2 linked regions of the Callithrix jacchus genome follow. Each later gene encodes a partner of the first gene's protein in a complex. Links are inferred from orthologs where the notes say so. Each region holds a gene or a part of one and is shown in the gene's direction. Other genes may lie near its edges.

Region 1 (5,857 bases):
CTCTACAACTGAGACCTGTGAGGGATGAGTTCGTCCTGAAAATTGAAGTAAAGCCGAGTAGGTGACCTTGATATTGATTGAAAAAGAGATTGGCTTACCTGCTACTGACAGAGTTACCCTGGGCTCTGATACAGTGATGGTAGATGGGGCCAGGAGACCTGGGTCCTGTCAGTCTTCAGCGGCTAAGCCAAGGAGCTGTGGGAGTGCAAGTGATTCTTCACCTTTTGTCTTGGTGAAGGGGTTATGGGTTGGAGGTACAGGCTTTTCTGTCTGCCTGTTGAGAGGACAATCAGACTTCCAGTGGCCTGTCTGCTGGCAGATGGGGCAAGGGCTTTTTGGCACCTGTGGATTGGGACATGCCTGCCCCCAATGGCTTTCCTTGCTGCACTTGAAACGTGCCCTCAGAGGTGTACTGCTATCAGCTCTTTTGTGCCCCTGGGTGCCATAGCCAGGCTGTTTAGGTTGGCAAATGGCTGCTGATAGAAGCTGGTATTTAGCACGATCTCTTTGGGCCTTGTTTATTTTACTTCGTTTATCCCTGTTATTGAAGACCTTGAAGGCCAGGTTAAGGAGGTCTTCTTGTGGGGTTTGAGGACCATCTGCAGCCTTTTTGAGTTTACGCCGGATGTCTGGAGCAGACTAGGAGATAAAATGAGTGTTAAGAACTATGATGGCTTCTTGAGGGTAGGATTAACAGGGGTGTATTTTTGGAGGGCCTCTGTAAGGTGGGAAAGAAACTGGGCAGGATTTTGTCTCCCTTTTGGGAAACTTGAGTTTTTCAAAATTCATAGCCTTATGGGCAGCTTTGTTAAGGCCTTCAATTAGGCAAGTAATTATGTGGTTATGGGACTCTTGGCCTGGATCTGTGGGCTGGTATTCCTAGGCTGGCTTTCCCCCGAATGGTGGCAGCTCCTACAGGCTTAGTAGGATTTTGCCAATGAAGATTGTCAACAGGTGCCTGGGCTGTGAGCCACACTCTTTCCTTCTTTTTTGGAAGGAGGGTAGAAGAGAGGATAATACAGAGATTATGCCAAGTGAGTTCATAAGACTGGATAAGATATTTAAATTCTTTGATGTACGTGTCTGGATTGAAGGAGAAGGACTCGAGACGCTTTTTGATTTGGGAGAGATCCGATAGAGAGAAGGGGACATGAACACGGACAATGCCTTCCATCCCTGCCACTTCTCAAAGAGGGAGTAAGGGAGCTGGCTGTGGGGGATGCCAGGTCCTGGAGCAAGTGTGGGCTAGAGATGGAGAGGAGTCAGAGTCGGAAGCAAGGTGATTGGAGAGAGGAGGGGACAAGAGGAGAGCTGGAGTTGAGGCGTAAGGCGGTCCAGGGTGTCCTGGTGGAGGCTCGGGGCATTGGCTGGGAGGAGGGAAGTCAGCTGGGTGGAAAGAAGATGCATCATCCCCCACACCGTGGGAGGGTTTGAGTCGGGTTTTGAGTGGGTGAGGGGAATTTGGAAAGTAGAGCAGGACTGACAGAGAGAGGGGTAGTTCCGGAGAGTAAAGAAACCCTGAACATAAGGAACCTCAGACCATTTACCAGACCGAAATTGTCAAGGTCCCGGAGAATATTGAAATCGAAAATACCATTCTCAGGCCACTGAGAACCATTGTCTAATTTATATTGGGGCCAGGCCATATTAGAATAAAAAGTTAATCTTCTTCGGCCTGACTTCAGACTGGAGACCAAGGGTGTCCAAATTTCGGAGGAGGCATCCTAGAGGGGTAGTCTTAGATGGAATGGACTGTCTGGACCCCATAGTGAAAGGCCGGAAGAGGAGGAGGCTGCCGAGGAGAAGGAAAACAGGAGAGAGCGTCCTCTGCCCTGTTTTCTCTACCTGAGGCAGTGAATTCGAAACAGTCGCTGTCGAATGAGGCGTCCCCAAGGTGACAGGACCGGTCCCTGGGGCTGGAAGGGTGTCCTCAGCCTAGCGCTGGAACTTTTGGACAGAAAACGGTCATGGAACCTGAACAGAGGCAAAACCTCTATTCAGCTTACCGCTGGGAGGTGCAGATGGAGATAACCGCAGTTGGCAATGGAGGTCTGGGGTTTCCCTCCTGGGTCTGGAAAGGGGTTCGGAACGGTGAGGCTGGGGTGGGGGGCGGAATGAGAGCAGCCAGCACCTACTCCCGTCCCAGGTTTCAGCACCAAAATGCAAGGTTGACCAAAAGGATGGAGAGGCAGACCTAGGGTCAGATTTAGCAAGTTCATTTCCACTCCCAGGCTGGCTGCCTCATCACAGGCAGTGAAGGCAGGAGTCTGGCTTACAGACTATTGGGATTATATAGGGGGGTTGCAGGTAGCGAGGTGTTATTCTAAGAAAAACCGCGTCTTGGTTCTCCAACATTCTGCTTAATTAGGTCAACATCCTGGGTTCAAGAGCTGGGTGTGACCACATCCTGGAACGTAGGTGCCCAGTTTACAAGGCTTGAGACTTGTTTTTGTGATGAGCTCGGCTTAGCAGGGGAGAACAGGGAGGGGATCTATGGGCTTGCCTTGCTGTGACCCTAACAAATAGGGCCATGATGTCTCTGGCAACTCTAGGGGAGAATACCTCCTTCCCTGTTCTAGCTTCTGGTGTTGCCTGCAATCTTTAGCATTTCCTGACTTACAGCTGCATAACTCCAGTCACACAGCATCTTTTCCTTATGCATTTTCCCTTTGTATTCCCTCTGTGCATGTCTGTCTTTGTCTTCAGATTTTCCCTTTTGTAAGTACACCAGTCATACCGCATTGGGACCCAACGTGATTTTTTTTTTTAATGAGAAATTCACATTTATCTGCCTTCAACTACTTATTCTATATGTGTTTAAATGTAGAAGTATTACATTTCTGCAACCAGGTAGTCCTAGGTTTAAAAGAATTTCTACTTGATGGAAAGTGCCTATGGAATCCTTAACTTGGTACAGGTATGCAGTTGTTTGAGGGAGTGGTACCTTTAATTTTCATAGCTTTGGAATGAAAATAAGAATTTGTCATTAGTTTTAAATTTCTTGAACACCAGTATTTATCCAGTTGATAACATTTACTCTTTTTCTTTATTCCATGTGTGGTGACTAATCTCTGCCTTAATACTTAGAATTTTAAACATTTCATTCGGGTGTTCTAGACACTCACTGAATAAACTTTACTAAAGTTGGAAAGTATATTTTTCACTAATCTAACAAAAATTAAATTTTAGCAGGCTCTAAGCAGAATAAATTCCCTGACAAAAGAAAAAGGAATTCTGTGGACTCAGATCTGAAAAGCACAAGAGAATCTATGACACCAAAAGCAAAAGAGTCCTTCCTTGAGAAGCGTCCTGATGGACCACATCAGAAAGAAAAATTTATAAGACATATTGCACTGAAGACACCTGGTGATGTGTTGCGCTTAGAAGACATATCCAAGGAACCGAATTATGAAACTGATCGCCCTTCTGCAGGCTTGGCACCTTCAAATTCTGGCCACCATTCTTCCAGGAATAGTGACCAAATCCGAGTGGCAAGTACCAAAGAGACTAAGATGCAGAAACCCCACTTACCTTTACCTCAGGAAAAATCTGCAGTTAAAAAAGCTAGCAACCTTCAGAAAAATAAAACCGCTAGCTCCGTAACATCAAAGGAGACAAAACTACCTTTACTTTCCCATGTTCCAAGTGCCGGTTCCTCTCGGGTACCATTAAATGCTAAAAATTGTACTCCTCCAGTTTCTAAAAGAGATAAAGAGCGTTCCTCATCTAAAGAATGTTCTGGGCATTCTGCAGAATCCACCAAACACAGGGAACACAAAGCAAAGACTAATAAGGCTGATTCTAATGTATCTTCAGGGAAATTTTCTGGGGGATCTTTGCGCTCAGAATATGGCACTCCTACAAAGTCTCCCCCAGCTGCTTTGGAAGTTGTGTCATGTATCCCAAGCCCTCCAGCACCTTCAGATAAAGCCCCTTCAGAAAAAGAGAGTTCAGGAAATTCTAATGCGGGTAGCAATGCACTGAAAAGAAAACTAAGGGGTGATTTTGATAGTGATGAAGAAAGTTTAGGTTACAACCTAGACAGTGATGAGGAAGAGGAAACATTAAAATCACTGGAAGAAATAATGGCTTTGAACTTCAGTCAGACTCCTGCAACTACAGGAAAGCCTCCTGCTCTTTCCAAGGGGCTTAGATCCCAGTCATCAGACTATACAGTAAGTAGTTCTGTGACGTTTATCTTTACTTGAAGAGGGGAAGATGATTAATTAGTGAAAGGGTGAATTATTGGAACTTACTTTAAAATTTAATGTTTATTGTAACCCATAATTGGACTGAAAATGGAGTATTTCTTGTTTGGTAAATGAGTTTCCATTATCTTTAGTTTTATTACTGCAAATCAGTGGTCTCCAAACTCTTTTGATCACACACGTCTGTGAGTAAACAATTTTTGAGCATGTACCCCAACATGTGTGTATACCTTTAGATTATATATATGTACCACTATAATACTGTGTACTTTCTAAAGCATATGCAAAAACAGAATTTAAAAGGAAGAAGAAGAAAAAAATAACTATTTTCCTATAGAGCTATGTAGAAGTTACTATAGACTAAGTTCTACTGGAGTTTCTATAGAAGTTCCATATAAATAGAAGTTCTATTATTTTCTTCCTGCACCCCAATGGATCACCTTGCACACCCCCTGCTTTGGAGACCACATCTGTAAATGAAGGTAGAGTGTAGAAATGTTGTTGATTGTGGTGTGCAATTTTATTTATAAAGTGCTTCATTCTATCTTGGGAATAAGCTGAATTCTAGGATGTCTGTAAAATTTGGTGGGGAAGGTGTTACTATTCCGTAGTAACACCTAAAAATGAGTAGTTTGATTCTACTAAAATCGAATTTGAAAGTAAAGACAGGGTAGCCACAGCATTCTTAAGTGTTTGCAGTCAGATCTCAAAGTTAGCAGGGTTTTATAAGTACTTTCCTAATAGGTGGTAAAATCTAATTGTTCTTTAGTGCAAAATAGTAGATTTAAAGCATGGTGATGAAAATTATCCTTTAAGAAAGGTGTTATCCTGGCCCAGATTATTGAAATAGAAAATAGTCTTTACTACCCTTAATTACTGAAAACATCCCAGTTCTACTGAGACATGTTGTAAAGTATTTCTAAATTTTCTTCTTGTTTTAGGAACCTGCTCATCCTGGAACTTACACAAATACCTTAGAGCGTCTAGTGAAGGAGATGGAAGACACACAAAGGTTTGTTAGCATAAAGATTAATTTTCTAAATTTAACATTCTGCTTCTGTGGCTTACTTTTAATTTACCTTTTTGAAAAAATCATGAGAAATTAGCATGCATTTTAGGCTAGTATCATTTTGATAGTTCTGTTGTCAACTATGTTAGGGCAAGATATGTTGGCCGGACACAGGGGCTCACACCTATAATCACAACACTTGGGAGGCCCAGGCAGGAAGATTACTTGAGCCCAGGAGTTCAAGGCTGCAGTGAGTCGTGATGGTGCCACTTCACTCCAGCCTGGGTGGCAGAGCGAGACTCAATCTCAAATGAAAAAAAAAGAGGCCAGGTGTGTTGGATTACTAAAGTAATCCAGTACTTTAGGAGGCCAAGGCAGGAGTTTGAGACCAGCCTGGGCAACAAGGTGAAACTCCATCTCTACAAAAAATACAAAAATTGGCCAGGCATGGTGCCACACACCTGTGATCCCAGCAACCCCACAGGCTGAGGTGGGAGGATCACCTGATCCCAAGGAAATCAAGGCTGCAGTGAGCTGTGATTATACCACTGCACTCTAGGCTGGGTGACAGAAGGAGACCCCATCTCAAAAAAAAAATGAGATGGGTTTTCTTGTTCATAGACTGGATCAAAAGATCCAG
Region 2 (5,857 bases), on another chromosome or scaffold:
GCACAGGTAAATGGAATATTTTGTAAGGTTTCTATAGTTTTACCTTAGGTAATTCAATAAATTTTCTCTTCTTTTTTTTTTTCACTTTGTCCCCCAGGCTTGAGTGAAGTGGTGTAATCTTCAGCTCGCTGCAGCCGAAGTTCAAGCCGAAGTTCAACCACCCAAGTTCAAGCAATCCTCTTGCCTCAGCCTTCCAAGTAGCTGAGACTAGAGGCGTGCACCACTATGCCAAGCTAATTTTTTTTTTTTTTGAGACGGAGTTTCGCTCTTGTTACCCAAGTTGGAGTACAATGGCGCGATCTTGGCTCACTGCAACCTCCACCTCCTGGGTTCAGGCAATTCTCCTGCCTCAGCCTCCTGAGTAGCTGGGATTACAGGCACGCGCCACCATGCCCAGCTAATTTTTTGTATTTTTAGTAGAGACGGGGTTTCACCATGTTGACCAGGACGGTCTCGATCTCTTGACCTCGTGATCTACCCGCCTCGGCCTCCCAAAGTGCTAGGATTACAGGCGTGAGCCACCATGCCCGGCCCAATGGACCAAAATTGTAAACAAAAGGCAGAGATTGTCTGACTAGACCCAAAAAAAAGCAAGAACCAAGTATGTGCTATCTATAATGATAAAAGAGTTAATATGTTAGGAAGTTATAAGAATTATATATGTATATGCACCTAATAAATATAGTTGCAAAATCCATGACGCAAACAACTGAACTAAGAGAGAAAATAGTCAAAGCTACAGCCATAGTTGGATACTTCTCACTAAGTAATTGGTAATGTAACTGTATACTCCCCCACCAAAGTAAAGAAATCAAAGATCTGAAAAAGACTATTAACTACCATGACCTGATTGATATTTATAGAACTGTAACTAACAAATACAGAATACACTTTTTCTCCCTAAGTACACAAGGAAGATTCACCAAGGTAGGCTGTGTGTTAGGACTTAAGTGTCAGTGTATTTCAAAAGATTAAAATCTTTCAGGGTATATTTTCTGACCATAATAAAAGTAAATTTGAACTACATGATAATAAAATGACTACATATTGATGTCCTGCAGAAAAATCACATGCTTTTTAAAATTGTGGGATGAAACCAAAGTAGTCATTACAGTAAAATTTTTTGTTTTAAATGTTAATGTTAGAAAAGAAAAAGGTCTAAACCTAAGCTTCCATTTAAGGAGCTAGAAGAAGAGCAAATTAAATCCAAAGTAGAAAGAAGGAAATAATAAAGAAGTCAGAAATAAGCGAAATAGAAAACAGATGAAAAAGATCAATAAAGTTGATAAATATCTAGCTAGATTGATCAGGGATTTTAAAAATGTTACTGATTATATATTGAATCAAGTTGTGCATTCCTAGGCCTTCACAGGGAAAAAAGGACACAGATCTGTGTTCGAATGTCTGTCTCTGCTACTTAGCTGTATAATCTTAAGATTATAATCTAACCCCTCTAAACTCTAGTTTCCCCATCCGTATGATGGATTGATAACGCCTACTTTATCAGGTCATTGTGAAAATTAAAGATACATGAAAATACTGAACTTGTTCTTAGTTCACAGATTCTCTTACATTTGCCACACTTCTTACTTAGCTTTTGTTGTAGGTTATCCTGTGTATCTGACTTAGCAAACAAAGGTTGCTTTTTGCTTTGTGACTTAAGGTTGGAATATCTCCTACTACTCCCCTGTCCACCTTGGACCAGAAAAAAAATCCCATTATGATGCTAGTCATCTGCCTGTGGCATTTGGAGAATTTAAGAAGGTATAGAAATTGACAGCTTTGGGCCGGGCGCGGTGGCTAATGCCTGTAATACCAGCACTTTGGGAGTCCAAGGAGAGTGGATTACCTGAGGTCAGGAGTTCAAGACCAGCATGAGCAACATGGAGAAATCCCTAAATACAAAATTAGCTGGGCCTGGTGGTACATGCCTGTAATCCCAGCTACTTGGGAGGCTGAGGCAGGAGAATCACTTGAAGCCAGAAGGTGGAGGTTGCAGTGATCTGAGATCACGCCATTGCACTCCAGCCTGGACAATGAGAGCGAAACTGCATCTAAAAAAAAAAAAAAGAAAGAAATTGATAGCTTTGGCAATACCAAAATGTTCACCGAAGGAAATAAACTATTGTTTATGTTATACAAGATGTGTAACTTATCGGTGAGGTGAAAAGGTAAAGTAATGCTTATCCTTAAAAGCTAAGACTTAAGTCATCTCAGATAAAGCTAATACTCCCATCTTGGCCTCTTCTGTTCTCACAATCCTTCTGCAGGACTTCATTGACTTAACTAGAGAGACCAGACCAAGGCCAAAAGATCACAGTGGACTTTGTGTGATTGACCTGACAAGAGCTGAGGAAGAAAATAGACCTATTGCCACTCTTGACTTAACTTTAGAACCTGTCACTCCTTCCCAGAAGGAGCCAACCAGTCTTCAGACATGTGCCAGCCTCTCCGGCAAAAAGGTGTTGGAAGGGCAGGTGGACAGAAGCTCGCAGCCTACGGCACAAAGAATCATTAACAGTCATCCTGTATGTTTGGACCTAGTGGAAGAAAACTTTGTAGGTCCCCTACCCCCTACATTCATCAGTGGAGGCTCTGTTTATCCAACGGAGCCTAATTGTAGCTCAGCTACATTCACTGGTAACCTCAGCTTCTTGACAGGCCTACAGCTGTCTTCAGATGTTAGCTCCCTCTCCCCAACAAGCAATAATAGTAGCAGCAGCAGCAGCCAAAGGGCACCTTTGCTATGCCCACAGCAAGATGTGCCTCGCCCACCACAAGCCTTGCCGTGTCCACTGAGAACCTCACCATGTCCACCACGAGCCTCCTCTTGCCCACCACGAGCTTTGTCATGCCCATTACAAACCATGCAGTGCCAAGTGCCAGCTCTAACTCACCCACCTCAAGAAGTGTCATGCCCTCAGCAAAGTATGCCAAGCCCACCTCAAGACTCATTATGGCATCCTCAGCACTCACCAAGCCCACCTCAAGACTCTCTGGGCTTACCTCCTCAAGTTGTACCAGGCCCACCTCAAAGGATATTACATCCACAAGATGTGACATACCTGCAAGACATGCCACAGTCACCAGGAGATGTGCCACGGACACCAGGAGATATGCCACAATCACCAGATGTACCACAGTCACCAGGAGATGTGCCACAGTCACCAGGTGATGCTCCACCATCACCAGATGCACCCCAGTCACCAGGGGGCATGCCACACTTTACAGGAGATGTATTATATTCACCTGGAGACATGCCACACTCATCAGGGGAGGTGCCACACTCACCTCAAGACATGCCTCACTTTCCAGGAGACAGGCCTGACTCTACCCAGAATGATATACAGAACCAGGACATGCCTATGGATATCTCAGCTCCATCCTCTCCAAGCTGCTCTCCCAGCCCACAGTCCCCACAGTCTGAAACTTCCTTAGAGAAAGTTCCTTGGCTCTCTGTCATGGAAACCCCAGCCAGAAAAGAAATATCACTGTCAGAGCCTTCCAAACCTGGGTTTTCCCATGTACAAGCACGAACACCACAAGGTGGGTTGTACAACAGACCATGCCTGCATAGACTGAAGTACTTCTTACGACCTCCAGTTCATCATCTCTTCTTCCAGACACTAATACCAGATAAAGACACAAGAGAGGTGAGTTAACATCTTCCCCTAGGGATTAGATGTCCTTTTCCTAAGCCTGGGAGAAAGTCAGTGTGACTGGAGTACATGCATGAGAGGACAGGTCAAGCATAAATGAAAATTTTTATCTTTCTTCCACTTGTGAAGACCCATTCAGTGTAGAAGCTCAGATCTGGGTTCAAATTTTAGCCCCACACTTAAAAACTGGGACTTGACCTTTTTGAGCCTTAGCTTTTCTATCTGTAAAGTGGAGATAATAACATACCTCACAGGGTCATATATGTAAAGTACCAGGGTGTTGGGCTCATCTTATATGTAAATTCTTACCTTCTAGCTGGGCATGGTGGCATGCACCTGTAATCCCAGCTACTCAGGAGGCTGAGGCAGGAGAATCACTAGAATCCCGGAGGCAGAGGTTGCAGTGAGCTGAGACTGCACCACTACACTCCAGCCTGGGCCACAGAGCAGGACTCTGTCTCAAAAAAAAAAATAAATATCTTCAACTCTTATGTCTTTCCCTTCCTGATGCCCCTATTACAGCTTCCATACCACAGAGATAATAATACTCTATCACTTAAGGGCCTCCAAAATTACTACTCTGACTCTGGGGGAGGAAATTCAGTTTTAGACATTAGTGGGTATGCTACTTTCCATTGGTCGTCATTGATTTGTGAGAAATAAATTAGATATGTGAGGGAAAATAATTGTGGCTAAGTTCCACAGTATGAACTGTTTTTTTAGTGGTATACATCCCATCCCTCATATTAAGAAAACCAGATTGAAACAGTTCACTGTCAAAGTCAAAACTCGCCTCATTGAAGCAGTGATCCAAGTAGGAAGGATCCAAGTGTTCACACTGATTTGAGCTTAGAGAATGATTTTTTTCTTTTTTAAAATTATTATGTATTCTAATATGTGTTATGTCCTCCTTCTGAATGCCTCTGCCTGACCACTAGCTCATTCTTTTCTTTTGAAACAGAGTCTCACTCTGTTGCCCAGGCTGGAGTGCAGTGGTGTAATCTCGGCTCACTGCAATTTCCACCTCCCAGGTTCAAGCAATTTTCCTGCCTCAGCCTCCTGAGTAGCTGGGATTACAGGTGTCTGCCACTACACCCAGCTAATTTTTTGTTTTGTATTTTTAGTAGAGACAGGATTTCGCCATATTGGCCAGGCTGGTCCTGAACTCCTGATCTCAGGTGATCTGCCCACCTCAGACTCCCAAAGTGCTGGGCTTGTGCCTGGGAGGCAGCCTGGGATTACAGGTGTGAGCCAACATGCCCGGCCCAGACAGTATTTATTATTATGAATAACTTGATGTATTTCCTTTTCAGTTGCCTTTTTATACATAGGCATTTTATATAGTTTAATAATTGGGTTTTTAACATATACACTTACTATTTTTGTTGTTTATGGGGAGTACGGGTTGAAAGAATGGCTCTGAGGTTTATGCCACCTGTGTTTGAAACCAGCTTCTGCCATTTGTTGTATGACAAATGCTTACCCTCCAAATCTCAGTTTCTTTATTTATAAAATAGGAATAAAAATGATACGTATTTCCTAAGATTGTTGTAAGAACTAGTTGAGAATAAATTAAGTGTTCATTGCTGGGTGCAGTGGCTCACGCCTGTAATCCCAGCATTTTGGGAGGCCATGGTAGGTGGGTTGCTGGAACCCAGGAGTTTGAGACCAGCCTGGGCATCATGGTGAAACCCCCTTTATAAAAAATTTAAAAATTAGCCGAATGTGGTGGCACACGCCTGTGTCCTAGCTACTTGGGAGACCAAGGCAGGAAGATTGTTTGAGCCTCGGAGGCAGAAGTTGCAGTGAGCCGAGATCGCACCACTGCACTCCAGCCTGGGAGGCAAAGCAAGACCCTGTCTCAAAATAATATTAATTGCTTAAGGCCAGACACAATGGCTCACATCTGTAATCCCAGCACTTTGGAAGGCCAAGATAGGTTGATAGCTTGAGCTCACGAGTTCGAGACCAGCCTAGGCAACATGGCGAAACCCCACCTCTACTAAAAATACAAAATACTAGCTGGTCATGGTGGCACACACCTGTAGTCCCAGCTACTCAGGAGGCTGAGGTGGGAGGACAGCTTGAGCCTGGGAGGCAGAGGTTGCAGTGAGCCATGATCATGCCACTGAACTCCAGCCTGGGTAACAAGAGCAAAACTCCAGCTCAATAAAAATAAATAAATAAATAAATAAAAA

Evidence for each region. The genes of interacting proteins can lie anywhere in the genome.
Region 2: the proteins of SLF2 (region 1) and SIMC1 are in contact, whole or in part, in a cryo-EM structure (PDB 7T5P), measured with the Homo sapiens proteins. The link is inferred for Callithrix jacchus from reciprocal best matches to the Homo sapiens genes SLF2 and SIMC1. Residues at the interface, in NP_060591.3 of Homo sapiens: His738, Val772, Leu775, Lys778, Asp783, Phe786, Gln790, Gly791, Phe792, Thr794, Ser795, Ala796, Tyr797, His798, Tyr799, Cys820, Ile821, Gln825, Ser828, Met831, Glu832, Ile835, Arg836, Asp838, Thr839, Ser841, Asp842, Ser843, Pro847, Lys919; in NP_001295125.1 of Homo sapiens: Tyr426, Arg428, Leu431, Lys435, Leu438, Pro440, Val442, His443, His444, Leu445, Phe447, Gln448, Arg470, Arg471, Phe490, Asp493, Pro497, Val521, Asp522, Lys525, Glu526, Tyr528, Met529, Met532, Lys533, Gln536, Leu537, Arg571, Asn658, Gln661.

Annotation. Positions count from the first base shown.
Region 1 is NC_133513.1:93,841,175-93,847,031, forward strand, and holds part of SLF2 (SMC5-SMC6 complex localization factor protein 2), read left to right. Parts: intron 1-3,189; coding exon 3,190-4,175; exon of another isoform or gene 4,176-4,684; coding exon of another isoform or gene 4,685-4,690; intron 4,691-5,149; coding exon 5,150-5,220; intron 5,221-5,857. UniProt on the Homo sapiens protein: Plays a role in the DNA damage response (DDR) pathway by regulating postreplication repair of UV-damaged DNA and genomic stability maintenance.
Region 2 is NC_133503.1:70,919,318-70,925,174, reverse strand, and holds part of SIMC1 (SUMO-interacting motif-containing protein 1), read left to right. Parts: intron 1-2,270; coding exon 2,271-3,653; intron 3,654-5,857.